Linked DNA regions of Nothobranchius furzeri. The main gene of each other region encodes a partner of the protein of the gene in region 2 in a complex. Links are inferred from orthologs where the notes say so. Each region holds a gene or a part of one and is shown on either strand. Other genes may lie near its edges. The genes, in order: pex5la and potassium/sodium hyperpolarization-activated cyclic nucleotide-gated channel 2.

Region 1 (9,050 bases), on a different chromosome or scaffold from region 2:
GTAGAAATAGTGCAAGGAAACCTCATCTTATACTTAATTTTATGTTAGCGATAGCAAAAGAAAGCACTTACATGCATACAAATAAAGACTCAAAAGGACAAAATGACTAACATGCTGTCAGCCTCACTTCCTCAGGAGCATGCGTTACAAGCTACGTCATTTCACCTGAGAAGGTTGTTAGATCTAAATAAGTAATATAGTCATTTCCCTGCATCATTTATAATGATCCAAAGTTGAGATTTAGTTCAGGTTTGATATTTTCTTTTGTTTTCTTTTATACAGAGTGACGAGGTGCAAAAAAGGCAAAGGCCTACAGGCAGATACAAAATCTAGAGCTGATAGGAAATCAGAAAATCCCCAGACATCATGTTTCCTACAGTTCTGTTGACACTTTCAGTGCAAAACATAAAAATACTTGAGTTAGCTCAACTTTCCTAATATTTGGAGAACGAGCACGTTAATGGTGGACACCAGGCTCAATAACATATTTTTGACTGATTCAAGTTCATTGTTGTAAATATTGTTTTAGAAGGATAATTGTTGACCCAAAAGAATCTAAAGGAGCTAATGATGTTCTAGTAACAAACAGTAAAATTCACCCCACTTTACATGTTCATGAGATGAGGAGTTCGAGAAAACCTGGACACAGATTATTTTTGGGGGTTGGAATTTGAAGGATCAGGCAGTGGGAAACACTGGACCAGCTCTATACCCTTAAGGGGATCCTGGAGGGTGCATGGGAGTGTTTTGTATTTTGTGGATCTGGAGAATGTGTTGGACCGGGTCCCTCTGGGGGGCCTGTGGGGGTACTTCGGGCATATGTGGGACCAGGCCCTCTGATACGGGCTTTTAGGTCCCTGCATGACCGGTGTCAGAGCTTGGTACGCATTACCAGCAATAAGTTGGGCTCGTTTCTGGTGAGAGATGGCTGCCCTTGGTCACAGATTCTGTTCATAACTTTTACCGACAGAATTTCTAGGTGCAGCCAAGGTGTTGAAGGGATCTGATTTGGTGGCCTGAGGATCAGGTCTCTGCTTTTTGCAGATGATGTGGTCCTGCTGGCTTCATCAGAACGTGATCTCCAGCTTTCTCTGGAGCGGTTCACAGCCGAGTGTGAAGCAGCTGGGATGAGAATCAGCTCCTCTATATCCAAGACCATGGTCTTGAGTCGAAAAAGGGTAGAATGCCTTCAGGGATGAGGTCCTGTCTTAAGTGGAGGAGTTTTAAGTATTGGGGTCTTGCTCACGAGTGAGGGAAAGCTGGAGAGTGAGATTCAGAGGCGGATTGGTGCTGCATCTGCAGTGATGCGGGCGTTGTACTCGTCTGGAGCTCTCGTATTACCAGTCGATGGAGGGACTATGTCTCACCTGGCCAGGGAACACCTTAGGATTCCCCCGGAGGAGCTGGGCCAAGTGGCTGGGGAGAGGGAAGCCATGGGCTTCTCTGCTTAAGCTGCTGTCCTTGCAACCCGACCCCGGATAACCACATGAAAATGGATGGATGGATGGATGGATGGATGAAAGGTAGTTTGGAGTACATAGTCAGCATTAAATCTGCAGTAGAATGCGATCAGAGAAATATCACTTTGGAGAATCAGGCAGAAGTTTGCACTATCAGAAATCAGAATCATCCTTTTAAACCAACTTCAAACCTTCTCAGCAGTTTTACCAAATGTTCAGATTTTTGCACTTCTCTTTTGCACGAGACAGTTTCAATCGTCACTATTTTTTGCATCTGTTCATTTGTGTTGTTCTACTAATTGCATGAAGACAATTTACAGAGTAATTAATTTAGCCCATCAAGTTTGTTTAATTTCCAGCCATTTACATTTTATAACATACGACTCATGCAAATATCCTCTGATTTCTGCAGAAAAAGGCACTTTGTTCATGTTTCCACTTGTGCAATAAATTTACTCAAATAAGCAGTATGTAGTTGTTATTTTGGGATGGAATAAAAAAATGTTTGGTTTAAAAAATAGTTACATTAAAGAACTGTCTTGTGCAAAATCATCAAGGTGTGAACTAGTTTACCATCTATTCAGTTCATCAGTGTGGTAATATGTCATGAACACCATGCAACCCCACTCAAACACTGAATTAAAATCTCTGATTGCTGCCTTCTGCAGGTAAAACACTACCTGTTCACCATTTACTGCACATGCGCTTTATTTCTGCTCCTGCCTCTTTAAGTCCTCCCTAGTAAGAGCAAATCTAAATGAACCCTAACATTCCACATGGCCAAAGCTTCTTATTCATAGGAACGTCTTCAGCTGAAGGAGTAAAAAACAGGTTGTAACTCTATATGACATTGTTCTTGCACCAGAAGTGACTTGTCTCCATATTCACTATAAAAACTGCAGTTTCAATTCAAAACAAGTCATTTCAGACAAAGAAGACCCAACAACCTAAACTTTAAAGGGGCGTTGATCTACGTGGAACCTGGAAACTCCCAAACTAAGGCCATTCCATCAGCGTGACTGAAAATTACTTACAAATTTTGAAAATGTTTAAATGCTATTCTGTTCCAATCCCATGCTCCAGTAAATGCACATCACTCTCAGTTCGCAGCATAATCTTACTTTTAGTGTTGTTTAGATTTTTGGGACAACAGCTACAGTGGTGGAGTTTCCTTCTTCTCCAGGGGCAGAGTTAGCATCCATGAGAACGTTTCCAGCGCGAGCAATGGTGTACAGCTGTGACTTTTAAGTCTCCACCTACAGCCAAAGACATTTCTATGGCAGAGAATTACAAAAATTCAAAAGCTGGATGGCGTTCGTTTTCCCCACCAGTCCCTTGATAAAACCTTCCTTCTGACAGAGTGTGACATCCCAGCTGTGCTGCTTGGAAGATGAATGGTTCTGGTGCTGGTCTCTGGTCATCCCCGATAGTATTCTTTTAAAACACAGAATCAACACTTCCCTTTGGTCTGCCGAGGCAGACGGGGACCAACCGACAATTCAGAGCAGCAACATGAAAGATGACCTTTTTGCATAGGAGCCGACAACAATAAGACACTTTCTGCAGCACACCCAGACTGTGGACACGCTTGATAAACACTAGAGAGTGCAGAGCTGAGCGCTACAGCAGATAATCTATCATTGACTCTGTTGCGTGGCAAGTGGCATAATGTTCAGTTTACAAAATGACTTTCAGACTAGAACTCAAAGGAAGCTGTCAGCGCAACTTGCAAGGCGTGTTTGTACAAAACGCTTCTGAAGAGTTGCAGAAAATTAATCTTGAGAAGATTTTTATTATAAATTAAGTTATTTTTAAATGGATGCATATTAATGTAGCAAAACAAATAAGATGCAACACTCTGAGCAGCGTATGTAAATATTTAAATCATGCATGATGGCTAAGAAGGAGTGATTTAATTACAAGTATGAGTTTTGCAGCTTCTGCAGCTTGGATATAGATGAGCGCATTCGGAAATTCATCAAGCTGCAGTCTCAAGTCTTGAAAATACAAACATTTCCATGGGACATAATGAGTTGTAATAAAGCAAATATCCTCTGCAGAAATGAAAATAAGAATATGACGTGTGTATGAGCTTTTGTGGCCTCTGAAGAAAACATGCAATAACTGAAGCTGATGAGAAATTTAAAAATGATTACAGATCACTTGATCTCATCGGAATTGGATGCATTTCTCCAGCCAATCAGCTTAAAGGGAACAACAAGACTGCAGGAGCTGAGACAAAAACTGATAAGTAAAGAAAAAATGAAAAGTTGTTGTCTTTTAGTAAATAAATGTAAGTGGATGCATGCGTCTGAGTAAGGCTTGGGTAAGGGTTGCACATTCCACTTGGACTCAGGAAATTAACTGAAGCTAAGTGCAAAGGGAGAATCTTCTACAAGCGTGTAGGATTTAGACAAATATCCACCTTTGAAATTGCTTATTTATGCAGTTAGATAACTCTCCACTGACAGAGCAGAAGCCAGGAAGACAGTCTGGAGCTCCTGCTTATGTGAGGCAGGCTGCCTGTAACATTTGCTCTCTGAACAATCCTGAGTCAACAGTTTTCCTCTCGAAGCCTTGTCTTTTAGCTGCAAATGGCTTGGCGTGGGGTGTGGGGGTGGGGGTGGGGGGGTCCTCTGTGGGAGTCTTAAAAGTGGCTGTCACTCCTGCCCCCCTCAGTTCCACTGGATGAGTCAGTTTTTAATTGATGCGTTCTCTAAGGCATTGCTCGTACAATCTTTGCCCGTCCTTGTGCTCTTTAGGGAAATCACAAATTGCAGCGCAAATTCCATCACAAAGCAGTTCGTCCAAACCCTTTGGAAGAACCAGCCTCAGAACCTCTCCGAAGAATCAGGGCACAAAAATAAAAAATAATAAAAGCAATCACGGGGTTTGACCATCATTCTAGTGTGCAAACTAAACGCACCTTCCTCTTAGGCTAACTCAGAAATGTGCGCTTTGGGTTTTTGGCTTCTGGTTAGAGAGCAGAGAAGGAATGATGAGGGAGATTCATCACTTCTTGTTTTTACCCTCAAAAGTCTAAGTTAAAAGCCCGCATGAGGAGATCCAGGTCACCGATGTTTGCTGCCTGGAAGAGTTCAGGCTGGTCCATCATGGACAACGCTATCCTCAGAGCTGCCCAGATGTTTCCAGACATCACCTCGTGAGACTGCTGTCGACTTCGGCTTTTTCTCTGTAGACTTAAAGCAGTCAGGAAGTTGCTGGCTGCTTCTCTGGGGACACAAAAGCAACAAATCAATTTTTATCAAAGGACAAATGAGTGAGTGAACAGATTTCTATGGAAGAAAAACAGTCTCACTACAATGTGACTTACGGATGGATGGATAGATGGAATTTTTATTCTGTGAAATTAATTTAACAAAGTGCACCAACAAAAATTTCAATGTCAAAATTCAACAGCAGAAATTCAACAACAAACGAGATGACCTCTCCTGACCAAAACCAAAGCAATCGTCACTCAATCGAGTCAGCGACTCACTGGTGTCACAGGATCAGAGAAGCGTGATTTGATTGGTTAAGAGTCACTTGAGTCGCTTGATTGATGATTACTTTGGCTTGGGTCACCAGGAAGTCACCTCAGTTGTTGTTGAATTTTTGCTTTTGAAACTTTTGCTGGTGTATGTTAAGTGAAAAAACAAACAAACCAACCAAATACATAATTTCACAATATAAAAGTTCAATGTCATGAATTCAATGTCTAAAAAAGTCATATTCTGGTGACTGGTGAGACTGTATTTGTTCCATAGACTATTTTTTGTGATAATTAGCATCTGAACTTCCAGTTGATCGCAGCAACGATGGCAGTTTAACAACTTGTGGATTTTAGGGTTGCAAGTTTCACCATGAGCTCTGATTCGTCTCTGTATTAGATTATGGTGCAAAAGTTCATTTATTTCAGTAATCCAACTTAGACTGAGAAACCACTTAAAGGCTCAGGAACCCTTTGCATGTTCATCCATCCATTTTGAGCCGCTTATCCGGGGTCGGGTTGACGGGGCAGCAGCCTAAGCAGAGAGGCCCAGACCTCCTTCTCCTCAGCCACTTGGGTCAGCTCCTCTGGGGGAATCCTAAGGGAGAGACAAAGTCCCTCCAGTGTGTCCTGGGCCTTCCTTTAGGTCTTCTCCTGGTTGGACGTGCCTGGAAAACATCGCCAGGGAGATGTCCAGGAGGCATCCTAACCAGATGCCCAAGCCACCTCAACTGACTCCTCTTGATGTGGAGGAACAGCTGGTCTACTCTAGCCCCTCTCGGATGACCAAGCTTTTCACCCTATCTCTAAGGGGGAGCCCAGCCAGCTTGTGGAGAAAACTCATTTCGGCTGCTTGCATCAGTTATCTCATTCTTTTGGTCATTACCCAAAGCTCGTAACCATTGATGAGATTGAAATGTAGATCAACTGATAAATCGAGAGCATCGCCTTCGGCTCAGCTCTCTCCTCACCACGACAGGCCGGAACAACACCTGCATCACTCCAGACACAGCACCAATCCGCCTATCGATCTTTAGCTCCATCTTTCCCTCACTCGTAAACAAGACCCCAATATACTTAAACTCTTCCTCCGGCCAGGCTCCATTGGCTACCAGGTACTCGCCAATGTACCTCACATCCAGGTCTGGCTCCAGCGGGGGGGGGGGGGGGGGGGGGGGGGGGGGGGGCCTTGGTGACCTGCATCCAGGCAAGGGAACACTGTTTCTTCATAATGGGTCTTTGGGTTGCACCTTGGATCCCTCACCTGTTTCTTCCAGAACCTGTTTGCCATGGGTGACCCTATCAGAGGCATAAAGCCTCTGACAACTTAGCTTGTAGGATCATTGGGGCACTCAAACCCCTCCACCATAGTAAGATGGCAACCTTTTTAGGTGTTTGGATTCATTCCCACTGTGCAAAGACTCAGAGTGGACGTCCTACAGACGTGGTCTGGACTGATAGACTCAATATAGACATGATCTGCATGTCCATGCAATGTTGACTGTTTGCAAGGTTATCTGATTAGAGTGGGACACTCTGGGTCTAGAATATTGAACCTTTTCACATTATTCTAAATGTCTGAGATTTTGAATGTGGGGTTTTCATAAGCTGTAAGCCATCACAATTGTAACAAATAAAGGCTTGAAACATCTGGCTTTGCATATAAGGAGTCTGTCTCATTAAATTACTTTCACCTTTTAAGTTGAATTACTGAAAACATTTACTTTTGCACCATATTCTAGTCTTTTGAGTTTTACCTGTGTGTAACCAAAGGAAAATATTCAATTCTTAGTTTTGTCCCATATTTTAAGTGTTTCTTCCTCATGTACACACAAACTATGAATAGAATTTTAATTAGTTTTATTTTGAAATTGTTGATCTATAACCTAAGACTAAACACAATTTTATTACAGAACCAAAAAAGTAAAATGCTATGAATGGTTCAATAAATATGGCAACATGCAAAAATTGTTGTTTTCCTTTTTCTTTCCTTTTCCACCTAAAAGTTATTTCCATTGGGTTATTGGTGTTTTAGAAAACATTTTTTTTACAGTTTCACATAATTTTCCTGTGCATTTTGTGACTTTTGATTTCCATTTTATTTTATAAAATATAAACATTCCAATTCTTATTTAATGTTCCTGTCACAACATTTTTATTATGTTAAACGCATTCCATTCTCATTATGCAAATGAAGACGCCAGTTTTTTTTCAGGTTGTTGCATTCGATTAATGCAAAACATCACAGACAACATTAGCAGTGCTAGATGGAGCTAAAAGAGTCTGAAATAACTCTGCATTTTTAAAGTAAACTGGTTATGGTTAAATAACAAAGGGCAGAATACCACCAGTAAGGCTAAACGTGTTTGAATCAGTTAATACTTGTATTATTCTAATTTTAGACATATTTTTTCTATTATTTCTCTTTTGCATTTTCTCCTCCTTTGTTATTGTTTGTCTTTTTACATGTATGCATTCACATAGGATAGAAAAAAAACCCATTCCAAAAAGCTTCATTCAACTTAAGCACAGCATATTTGAATCCCTTGGGAAAATTAGGAATTTCATAAACTTTTAATTTGAATTGGTTCACTCTGCTCACCACTAACATTGAGCTTTTCTATTTTTTATGTCCTGAAAATTAAAATCATTAAATAAAAGCAAATAAATAATTTTGATTTTGCTCAGGACTAAAAATGAGAAACATGCAAATCAAGCCAGGACTGTCCTTGTATTGCTGCAGGTCACTCACCTGTGTGCCCCCAGATTAATGCAGCTGATGCCCAGGTTGTAGCGCGACCGGATAAACCCTGGATGCAGCTCCAGGGCCCTCGTGTAAGCCTCCACCGCCTCTTCACTCCGGTCCCCATTAGCCAGCGTGGCTCCCAGTCGATTCCACAACAAGTAGTCCTGGATGGAGGAGGAGTAAAGCCTTGGGTTAACTAGTTCAGTGTCGAGTGGATGTCTTTCAGTGAATCTACTTTAAAAATTAGATGTTAAAAAAATGTAACAGATCATTTAAAAGGCTTTCCATTTTTAAACGGCTCAGAGATCAGCTGTGTGTCCGGACCGATCGATGGATCAGAAAGAGTAAATCTTACTTTTTAAAAGTCAAAATACAAACAGTTTCAGGCCCTCTGCAGCTTTCAGATACAAAACAGTTCAAAGATAAGAAGAATTACATAATTCAATATATGAATAAGTAAACACATTTGAATCTGGATCAATGGCAAGAACACAACATGGTGATATAATAGGAGTTACATCACACTGGTTATCCTTGTTGTTCCCCACCTGCGGGCAGACGGGCACGAACATAGGTCAGTGGCTTCTGCAGTCCTTCATCCGTGGTTTAGCCCAGCAGCAGGATATAATTATCCCCCTTTTGTTTTCGGAACAGTTTTTATTCCAGTAGGGGAGCAGATATTATCAAGTCAAATGTGGGGGATTAGATTTAACATTGAGTCGTATTCACATCATCCTGGGACAGCAAAGGGAGGACGTTCACTGATTCACAAGAGGGCGATGGAATAAAAAGTTTGCTGCTGCGAACATCTTGTCTTATTTTTATGTATTGTTATATGTTTGTGTCATCATTCACGTACACTATACTTTACTGTTGTTGTTCACAGGTCCAAAGTAAATTTAACCCTGAATTGGATAACTTCTCTAAACTGGTGAAGATCTCATAGATTTGGACCAAATAGTCAAGCCCTCATATAATGTTTGGACAATAATTTAGATTTTCCTGAGCCACACAAAGAAAATTCATATTTGTAGCTTCAGTTTTCATTTCAACACTTATCCAAAATGTGGTTTTTTACTGCCTCTTTAAACAATCCACATAAAAAGCCAACTTGTCAATTGATTTTTGGGTTATAACTGTTTTTAGGAATAATGCACCTAAAACAAGTTATTTCAAAAAGTCCCCATTTGTGATGCCACAAAATGAAAAATTCGGATAGAACAACCTCACACTTGCAAGAGAGGGCTGCTGTTGGAGGAACAGCCACTCTACTCCAGGCCCCTCCCGGATATCGGATCTTCTCAGCTTATAGCAGCTTGAGTGGGGGATGGGTGGGCGTGGCCAGCTCTAGCTT
Region 2 (9,558 bases):
TGGCTTCACCAGAACGTGATCTTCAGCTTTCGCTGGAGCGGTTCGCAGCCGAGTGGGAAGCAGCTGGGATGAGAATCAGCTCCTTTAAATCTGAGACCATGGTCTTGATTTGGAATAGGGTATAATGCCTTCTCCGGGTCAGGGATGAGGTCCTGCCCAAGTGGAGGAGTTTAAGTATCTCGGGTTCTTGTTCACGAGTGAGGGAAAATTGGAGCGTGAGATCGATAAGCGGATTGGTGCTGCATCTGCAGTGATGCGGGCGTTGTACCGGTCTGTCATGGTGAAGGGAGAGCTGAGTCAGAAGGCGAAGCTCTCGATTTACCGGTCGATCTACGTTCCTACCCTCACCTATGGTCATGAGCTTAGGGTAGTGGCCGAAAGAACGAGATCGTGGATACAAGAGGCCGAAATGAGTTTTCTCCGAAGAGTGGTTGGGCTCTCTCTTAGAGATAGGGTGAGAAGCTCGGCCATTCGGGAGGGGCTCGGAGTTGACCTGCTGCTCCTCCATGTCGAGAGGAGCCAGTTGAGGTGGCTCGGGCATCTGGTCAGGATGCCGCCTGGACGCCTCCCTGGTGAGGTTTTCCAGGCACGTCCAACTGGGAGGAGACCTAAAGGGCGATCCAGGACACGGTGAAGGGACTATGTCTCTCACCTGGCCAGGGAACGCCTTGGGATTCCCCCGGAGGAGCTGGCCCAAGTGGCTGGGGAGAGGGAAGTCTGGGCCTCTCGCCTTAGGCTACTGCCCCCGTGACCTGACTCTGGATAAGCGGATGAAAATGAATGAATGAATGAATGAATGAATGAATGAATGAATGAATGAATGAATGAATGGATGGATGGATGGATGGATGGATGGATGGATGGAGTAACCGTGCAGTAAAGTTAAATTAATTTCCACACTTTGATGATTTACATAGCTGATGGATACAAGTATAAAATGCTTCTGTCTGTTTTTGACATAATCAATTCAGAGCTGATTACATATCACATAACTTTTATTCTTCATGCACACAAATTGATATAATGTTGAAAAACTAAAGTGTTTAATCCATTCTGGTTCACCATTGCCGGGTGTGTCTTGCTCTTCAAATAAGCTGCAAGTCGATGATTGGTCAGATGGGTCGTATGTTGCATAAAAATGTAATAAAAATGTCCGTACATGGCAAGTAGGACACTTTGTGGTTCTGTACAGCCATAACATCAAGAGTCAGAAGCCTCATCCAGAAAAACTTCAAATCTGAGTTTTACGACGAGTCGTGCTGAACCCAGACAACGTCTGTGAGCAGGACTCAATCTGTTTAAAACCAATTTGGACTTGTGCCTCGTGTCTGGGTTGGTGTGGTCTTCCCCTGCTCAGCAAAAGGCTTGGCTGAAAGACAGACCTATGAACAACCAGCTTTTATCTCTATGAGAGAGACATGGCAACAAAGAGCCCAGCTGCCTGGCCATATTCCCCCTCATCCCTCTGCTTTCCCCTTTTATCTTTCCTGTCATCGCCCCACGGCACTGGTGGGGAGGCATGGGGGGATCAGGAGGTGTGTTTAAATCTCTGGCTTCTTTTCCACTGCATCTTCACCGATAACCTGCGGATGTTTCCTCTGTCTGTCACAAAGACTGATCGGTGCTGCACAAGATGGAGATATGAGTGACTTTCTTGATCTGTCTGAGAGAATTTTTTGCTTTTCTCCTTGAATGAGAGATAAAATATTTGCAGCGAATGTCACCTAGATGTGTTTCTGAGCACTAGAGCGCTGTATAGAGCTACCTAACTTTGCATAAATATTCTCAAAATGATGAGCCAACAGCGCAAATTATCAACTTTGAGGTCACCGAAAGACTTAACATACAAATTTGGTAAAATATTTGTATAAATGTTCCGTCAGACCTTCAGTGAACACAAGATCTACAGCAGAACTTGTTGCTATGAGCTGCTAATCTCAAGCAGAGCTAACAAAACTGATATTTTACATCATGTAGCATCTGCTGATGTGATGAAGGGCCATAGAAATGTCATTTCCACAATTTCCATAAATTTAAAATCAAGAAAATGAATTTATTTGAAGCCTTTTCTTCTTTACTAAAGCACAGATATCCCTACAGTAGCAACAGACAATAAAGACTTTGATGATCACTGATTACTAATCAGCCTTTAGCCAACTTTTACTGATGCTTTTCTCACTGTCAATGCTAAATAAAAGTACAAATCCAGCTGTGGGGCAAAAAAAACATGACTGAATCTGTAGATTCTTCCTCACAAGAGAATTAGCATCCATTAATGCTCTGCAGCATGTGTAAAAATACAGTTCAGGCAGATTTAATGCTTAAGTTCTGTCAAGAAGGCGTAAAAAAGGTCTGATTGTCTTTAAATTACTGAATTAATTATTGGGTGTGTGGGGGACTAAAAATCTTTCTTTGGAGATTATATCAATTAAGAAATGTCAGAAACAATGCGGTATACATGAGGAAAATTCGAAGAAATAGAAGAAATGTTTCCTCTGATGAGAATGTCAGTGCATGATCCGATTTGTGAGCAAGAACAGATGCATTTCACAACTTTTCATTACTAAGATGACTGCACATTGAGAGATCAGTGATGCAGAGGCAAGTAGCACTCATCTATAGAGACAGTATGAAGTGACAGAATCAGAAGAACCATCCCAGCTCTAATTCACAGCAAGAGAATGAGCGCATGCACGGCAAACACACTCTCATTAGGGTAAAGTATGCTTCTTTCCTTCAGTGATTTGGAAAATCATTCCCAGTATGCCATTATTAATGACTTCCAATCAATATGAGCTTATAGAGAGGAAATATAAGTACACTCTAATGTTCTTTGTCAGGGATGTGGAACCTGAGATTTCTCATTTACTAGCTTCAGTTGTTCAGGTTCTTGCACAACTGCTTGGAGGCACTTAAACTTAATAAAACAATGCATGTGAGGAGATGGTGCAGGACCGAGAAACTGGATTTTATAGTGAGTGAATCCAATAGTTCTCTGATACTATAAAATGCATTTTCCTGGAAATAATGTATCCAGTTGTTCTGGACGGGAGGATAACTACAAATCAGTCATAATGTTCTCAGTCATCATTTTAAAGAACAAATCAGTTTTGGCTTGCTTTTAGCACCCCCTAGTGTATGTTTGTAGAACCAAAAGCTAAACTTTTTTCCTCGTTGTGTGTTTGTCTTTTTAACACCTTAATGTAACCGCTGAAACGTCTCCCCAGTGTCTACAGGAGTGATTCATCACTAAATTAAACAAATCAGCTGTGTTCAATATCTAAAACTTGCAGGAAATGGGCTGGAACCAGACTGCAGCACCAGGTATGTCAGCTCATTTTTTTTAAAGTCCTAACAATGCCGCCTGCCAGTCTGAAGATGCAAGTGGAATATTCCGGCCACGGGGGGACAATAGGAACTGGGTGGCCTTTCATTAACACTGTTAAGGGTCATTTTTGCACATACTGGCTCAAGAAGATTATTTAAAAATGTGAAAAAGTTGCAAAGGTGTCCCACCATCTGTTTGGAGAATCATTTTTCTTTAATCATGTTGCTTTAAATGTAATCTGGTTAACCCTCAGCATTTGTTCTCACATAAAGATGATTTATGTAACTGGTTTATTTTGATCGTAATCGCCCCGTTAGTTAAAGCTAACCAGATTCCCTCATGCATACCTCCATCTTGTTGAGGGACACCCAGCAGTCTGATGGGAAGTCCTGCAGCATGGGAACCAGGAACTGTAGGCAGCCATCCCAGTGACACAGCAGCAGCATCATACCGATCAGGTTGATAATCCGCATCACCGCGCTGGCCAGGTCATAGGTCATGTGGAAGATCTGGATATTGACAGTGAAAAAGGAAGAAGTGTTAAGAATGATCTGACACGAGATGAGATGAGATCCTTGGGTTTCTGACATGGCAGGTAAATGGCGACAGTCCTGAACCAACATCAACAGGAGCAGGTGATACAGTTTTCACACAGAGATGTGTGACATCAGGCGGAGTTTTATACACGCACAGCCACATACATGTGTTACTCTCACGCAAGCCTGCGGGCACAAGGATACACCGACAGACATGTCATCACATCACACACATGGACATATTCACATGGACAGAGTGATGGACAGCAACCATCATGATCCTGAACAGCTGATAGTCCATGTTGTCTCACACATCAATCATGCTCACTCACTCAGTCCAATCATCAAACCTCAAGAAACCTCATCATGATGCTGCTTAGCAACCTAAAGGTTGAAAAAGTAATCCTCAGCCAGAAAAAATGTGTGGAAACGACATATAAACGTGCAGAACTGTCTGATGAAGTCCCCACTGAAGGAGGTGGGTCATTTCAGTGCAGCAAAGAGAGAGGTGATACTTGGTGACGCGAGTGATGAGGAATAGGACCTGACATGAATCACACGTGATGAACTTTCTAAATGCAGTTTTAACCTTTTTGATGTTTTCACTGTCACTTCCATCAGGCCAGAAACCAAGGAAAAGGGGAATGTGATCCTACTTTTACCAACAAGGAGGGATCCTCTGTTGCTGTCTCTGGCCGCTGGAGATTTTCAGCACCATGGACAGCTCTACAAACCCACCATGCAGTTTCAAGCTCAGAATCTTGGGTTTTCCAAACAAAACTCAACAGATAACTTAAAAACAACCAACATTTCTAGTGGATATTTTCTGTATGGGCCTGAGCTGTTACCATACACGTCATCATCCCTCATTCTCCATGCCTGTCAAGTATCACTTCCCATCATGCATCACTGAGTGTGTATGTGTGCATATCACATCATATCTTCAGAAATCAAATTATCCAAAGGTCAAGTGAGTAGCCAAGCTCCAATGAGCTGTTCACCACAGCAAAATGCCAACACCAGGCCGCTAACACTGGCAAGAATGAAAAGTCGAGTGATCTCATGACATCACTGGAGGTCTTTTGTCCTGAGCTGATCTCTTATCCCTCACACTGCTACAACAACCAAAGTGGCAGTGAAAGAAAGAGTCTTCCCAGCAACTAAACAGGACACAGTAAATGTATTTATTTAACTTTATTTCATGTAATTAGTGACATAACTAATGATAGACACTGCTCGCCCTCAGTGGTGATTGTTACTATCATCTTCCACCTCACCTGCTCCTTCTCTGGTGCCTTAATTGATTAACCATGTTTGTTCTGATAATAGTCTGCTTATTAGGCTGCCTGGTGCCACCTGTGGGACTGCTGGGTCAGACGGTGAGGCGGCAGAGTGGAGGGGAGCTCCAGTGACAGTGGGAGCAACAAAATGCAAGGTTTGTTCATGCTCAAATGTCTTACTAACATCAAATGTGTTTGTTTTTCTCCAGGTGGCAGGTGACAGCATCAATAAATCAGAAGAGCAGGCCACTTGGAGCAGAAAGAGGCAGACTGTTTATTTGGTCACGAGCCAACACCACCATTGGTGTTTCGGAGGATTTTACTAGTAAATATAACTACATGAGCTCTTACCTCTTCCCACTGGTGAATGTAACGTATTAATCTGGAGAGCCTCAACAGCCTCAGAAGACTTAGGATCTTGGTAAAGCGAACAATCCTCAGGGCCCGGGCGGTCTTGTACACCTCTGAGTCAATCCCTTTCTCCACTATAAGGAATATATAATCCACTGGGATGGAGGAGATAAAGTCTACAATAAACCAAGTTTTTAAGTATGTCTTTTTTATGGTTTCAGGGTCCAAAATAATGTCCGAGTTGTCCTCAATGATGATTCCAGTGCGAAAGTTGAGCACCAGGTCCATGAGGAAGAAGGTGTCGGAGACTACATTGAAGATGATCCAGGGCGTGGTGGTCTCTTCCTTGAAGAAGGTGATGCCCACGGGAATGATGATCAGGTTGCCCACCATGAACAGCAACATTGAAAAATCCCAGTAGAACCTGGCAGATGTGTGTGTGTGTTTAATGGGAAAGGGCAGGAGAAAGAAAACAAGACAAAAATAGTCAGATAAGAAAGAGGCGCTGCGGTGGAAAGCCTATAGAAACAAGAGGATCCTTAATTGGAGATGGAGGAAATGTGGAACTGAGCTTTTCATGCCTGAACATGCAGAGAATAATGAAAAAATGGTTTTCTGTTACAGATCAGCACATATTGTAATATATGTTATGTTATGTTAAAATGCAGCATAATTACATGTATTATGTATAAATTTTTCCAAATCTATAACGAAAAATATTTACTTTTTTACTTAGTCTTTGGAATATTAGATAATCAAACACAGAGCCTTAAAGTGTCTGTAAGATGATGATCGTAAATAAAATATTTGTTTTCTTGTGGTATTTTTATTGTAATAAGTGAATTTAGCCCAAATAATGAGGGATTTTGTGACTTGAATGTTTTAGGCTCAAACCGGGTCGTTAATGTTTTAAGTTGAACTGAAAATAGTGATTTTCGACATGAATGGTGTTTAGGTTGTCCAACAGAGGTGACAGGTGAGATCATGGTTGTTTCAGCCCGACAGAGGAAGCTCTGCGGGACAGGTGCAGTGCTGAGTCATTACGCTGCGACTTATGCAACAAGCTCTGATAATTCTACCTAAATCGCCGCTGATGATAATGTTTGATGCAACTTTGCTGCCGTGAGGGAGCAGCTTAAGAATAAGGAACAGAAGCCGGGGAGCAAAAAAACTCCTCTCATGTTGAAAGTAGGAGAGCGTCTATTAAGTAGCTTGTCGTCACGTTTTATCTTGAACATTGTCTTAAGTTGAGCTTTACTGACTCGCGGCGTTATGGGAAAACAAATGGGTCAAACATGAATGACTCGCGGGGGTGGGGGTAGAAGAGCGCTCCACACGCGCGACGCGACTCCAAATGAGAGGGGAGCTGTCCACTCCCTGTGGTGCTGAAAGCAACCGACCCAGCCCAGAATAAAACCTGTTGGTTTGCGCAACTAAAACGCAACTCCAACAACCAATACTTGCTCACAGAGACGCGTTAGTCACGTAGAGCCTTTTCGGCTCGTGGATTCCCCCTAAAGTTAAAGTCCCATTAGTTGTCACGCACACTGATATGTGTGCGAAATTTGTTCTCCGCATTTGACCCATCCCCTGGGGGGAGCGGTGAGCTGCAGACACAGCCACGCTCGGAGACCATTTGGTGGTTTAAATGCTTGAAAGACATAGCTGCTGGATGCTGAGCCACGTCACAAACACGGCGAATCCGTCGAGTAACGACATGATCCGGAGAATCTTGGCGGATCTGTCTCCAGTGAGCACGCTGGAGGTATTCGCACACTTTGCTCAAGGTGACATTCCATTACTGAGTGCATCGTACGCACACGCGCACGCGCTCATTGCCTCCATCCTGTCTGCACGGCTCTTGACGCAGAGTAGACAGCGCCACGTTTATTAGCCAGATCTTTAAAATAATAGCTGGACCATGAATGCCATCGTCTCTGTGCTCTCTGATAAATGTGAGCGTCATGCGTCGAAGAGCTGGAATAGCAGGCCTGGCTTGCTGAGAGCCCCAGACATGCTATTCTTCCGAGTGGAGCCGGATTTGTTTACAACCTTGAGAGGACACTCTTTGCTAAGTCCATTTGCCTGACAACAGGTTGTTTTTGGGAGGCGGTGTGCTGACAGCAGCCCATTAGACTGGAGCAGTACATCCTTTATGGGTTCATTAGTACGGGAGGAATGATAAATCAGGTGTAGCTCTAAAATGCGTTTGTTTCCTGTGCTTCATTACTCTGTAAAGTAAGTTATAGATGACGATAAGGACCCTTACGGGCCTCTCCTGGCAGCTCCATCTCTTACCTGAAATCGCTGTAAGGGTGGATAATCCAGTTTCCGGCTGATTTTACCCTCTCCTGCTCCTTTTCTACAGCTTTCTGACTACCATACATGCGTAAGGAAAATTTGTTAACTCCAGGCTGCAGCATACTACTAAACTGCCGCTGCATGAAGCTGGCTTGGCTGCCTCGAGGTTCTGCATCCTCGGCTGGCACAATTGGCGGTCCATCCTCCGGTTTCTGGAAAGTTACAGAGTTCCTTGGCTGTTGGGTCTGAGTCTGAGTCTGGCCGTGCAGCGAGGAAGATGCTTTTCGACTTGGTGCGTTAGAGAAGGACACCTTGGAGTCCTTTTTCTCAGGGGCACCGCTGGACACGGAGGTGGTCCCGGGGTTTGTGTTCTCCCCTCCTTGCCCTCCGGTTAGAGACCGGCCTGGTGTGATCGAACCGTCCATAGCGGTGGTCGAGTTACAGGCTCCTCGTTTGGCACCCCCTCCTTCCTCGGTTCTCCCCGACCCCGCTGGTTGCTTCTCCTGCTTGGAGATTATTGAGCGCAGGCTCCCGGTCCCCGAGTCCCTTCTGCATTCTCCGTTTTTGTTGCATTTCATGCTGGAAATGGGAGCGACGCCCCTGCAACCATCACTCGTTGTCGCGTTTAAAGCCTCTAACGTGGCAGTAGATCCCGACACCTCCGCCCCAGACGCTCGGTTGATCTCGCCGCGTCGGGCAGCATTGCCCGGACAGGGTGTCTCGGTGGCTCTGGAGGCAGCAGTGGGCCGTGAGGCGGCAGGAACGTCCTCTGTGTGCGTAAGGCTGGGCTCCTTGTTTGAGTTTCTCCTGGAAGCCGAGGACGCGGCTCCCCCTCCTGGCGTAAAGTTCTTCATCCTGATACTGCCTCCGCCTCCTTCTCCTCCACCTCCGCTGCTGCCGCTCCCCCCGGCTCGGCGCAAACGCGGATGCTGGAACTTGGACTCTTCTTCTCCTTCCTCCATCTCGTCCATCATGACGCTGCTGCTCACACCGGGCTGCTCGCCGCTTGGCGCACCGGGTGAACCACCAGGCTCCGCGCAGTTCTGTCCGCTGTTGCCTCTCGAGCATTTGGATGCGACAGTCTCCTTGGGTGCGCTGATGTGGCTGCACCCGCTGCCGCCGACCGCCTTCTTTTTCATGGTAGCAGCAGACACCTGTGAGACCTCATTCCTGTCCTTGACACACCGGATTTTGTCTCCAATTATCTTTAAGAAGGCCAATCAGAAAGAGGGGGGCGGAGAAGGGCCAGAGGAAGAGAGGGAGGAGTGGACGTGACTTTTTTGCAAACTAATGCTGTAATAATCTCAACATTATCAAATTGATGAAACCCAATTTTCTCTCTCAAATAAATTATCTCAACTTTTTAAAATGATTTTTTTCAATCGTGGTTTAATTTAAAAAATGCATAAAACGCAAGCAGGAGTGACGCATCTCGGCAGATCAAAAGTTTAATTGCCACGTGCTAATGAACATTCAAATGATGTCATATATTTTAGAAGATTTTAACAACGACAATGTTACCCTGATCTGGTGTTTAGCACCCTCTAGCGGCCTCGCAGATGGCGCACGAGATGTTTTCTGACAGATCATCAGAACTAGGAGATTAAAACACCGGTTCCCAAAGCTGAGGTTGGGACTCCCATTGTGGTTCATGAAACACCAAAAAGGTCTTCAAATGATCCCCAGAAATCAAGAAAATTTTTAAATTACCAAAAAGACACTTTTAAAAAATGCTACCAGAGAATAAAACGAGTAAAATAGT

The links.
Region 1: the proteins of potassium/sodium hyperpolarization-activated cyclic nucleotide-gated channel 2 (region 2) and pex5la are in contact, whole or in part, in a crystal structure (PDB 4EQF), measured with the Mus musculus proteins. The link is inferred for Nothobranchius furzeri from reciprocal best matches to the Homo sapiens genes HCN2 and PEX5L. Residues at the interface, in NP_032252.1 of Mus musculus: Leu859, Ser860, Ser861, Asn862, Leu863; in NP_001156988.1 of Mus musculus: Glu315, Glu317, Val343, Asn347, His426, Asn453, Arg454, Ala457, Thr458, Ala460, Asn461, Tyr472, Arg484, Tyr487, Asn488, Ile491, Ile494, Ile537.

What each region holds. Positions count from the first base shown.
Region 1 is NC_091748.1:59,196,149-59,205,198, reverse strand, and holds the end of pex5la (PEX5-related protein), read right to left. Parts: intron 7,861-9,050; coding exon 7,703-7,860; intron 4,694-7,702; coding exon 4,492-4,693; 3' UTR 4,287-4,491; downstream 1-4,286. UniProt on the Homo sapiens protein: Accessory subunit of hyperpolarization-activated cyclic nucleotide-gated (HCN) channels, regulating their cell-surface expression and cyclic nucleotide dependence.
Region 2 is NC_091751.1:56,767,133-56,776,690, reverse strand, and holds the start of potassium/sodium hyperpolarization-activated cyclic nucleotide-gated channel 2, read right to left. Parts: upstream 9,074-9,558; 5' UTR 8,936-9,073; coding exon 7,794-8,935; intron 5,920-7,793; coding exon 5,496-5,919; intron 3,838-5,495; coding exon 3,676-3,837; intron 1-3,675. UniProt on the Homo sapiens protein: Hyperpolarization-activated ion channel that is permeable to sodium and potassium ions. Displays lower selectivity for K(+) over Na(+) ions. Contributes to the native pacemaker currents in heart (If) and in neurons (Ih).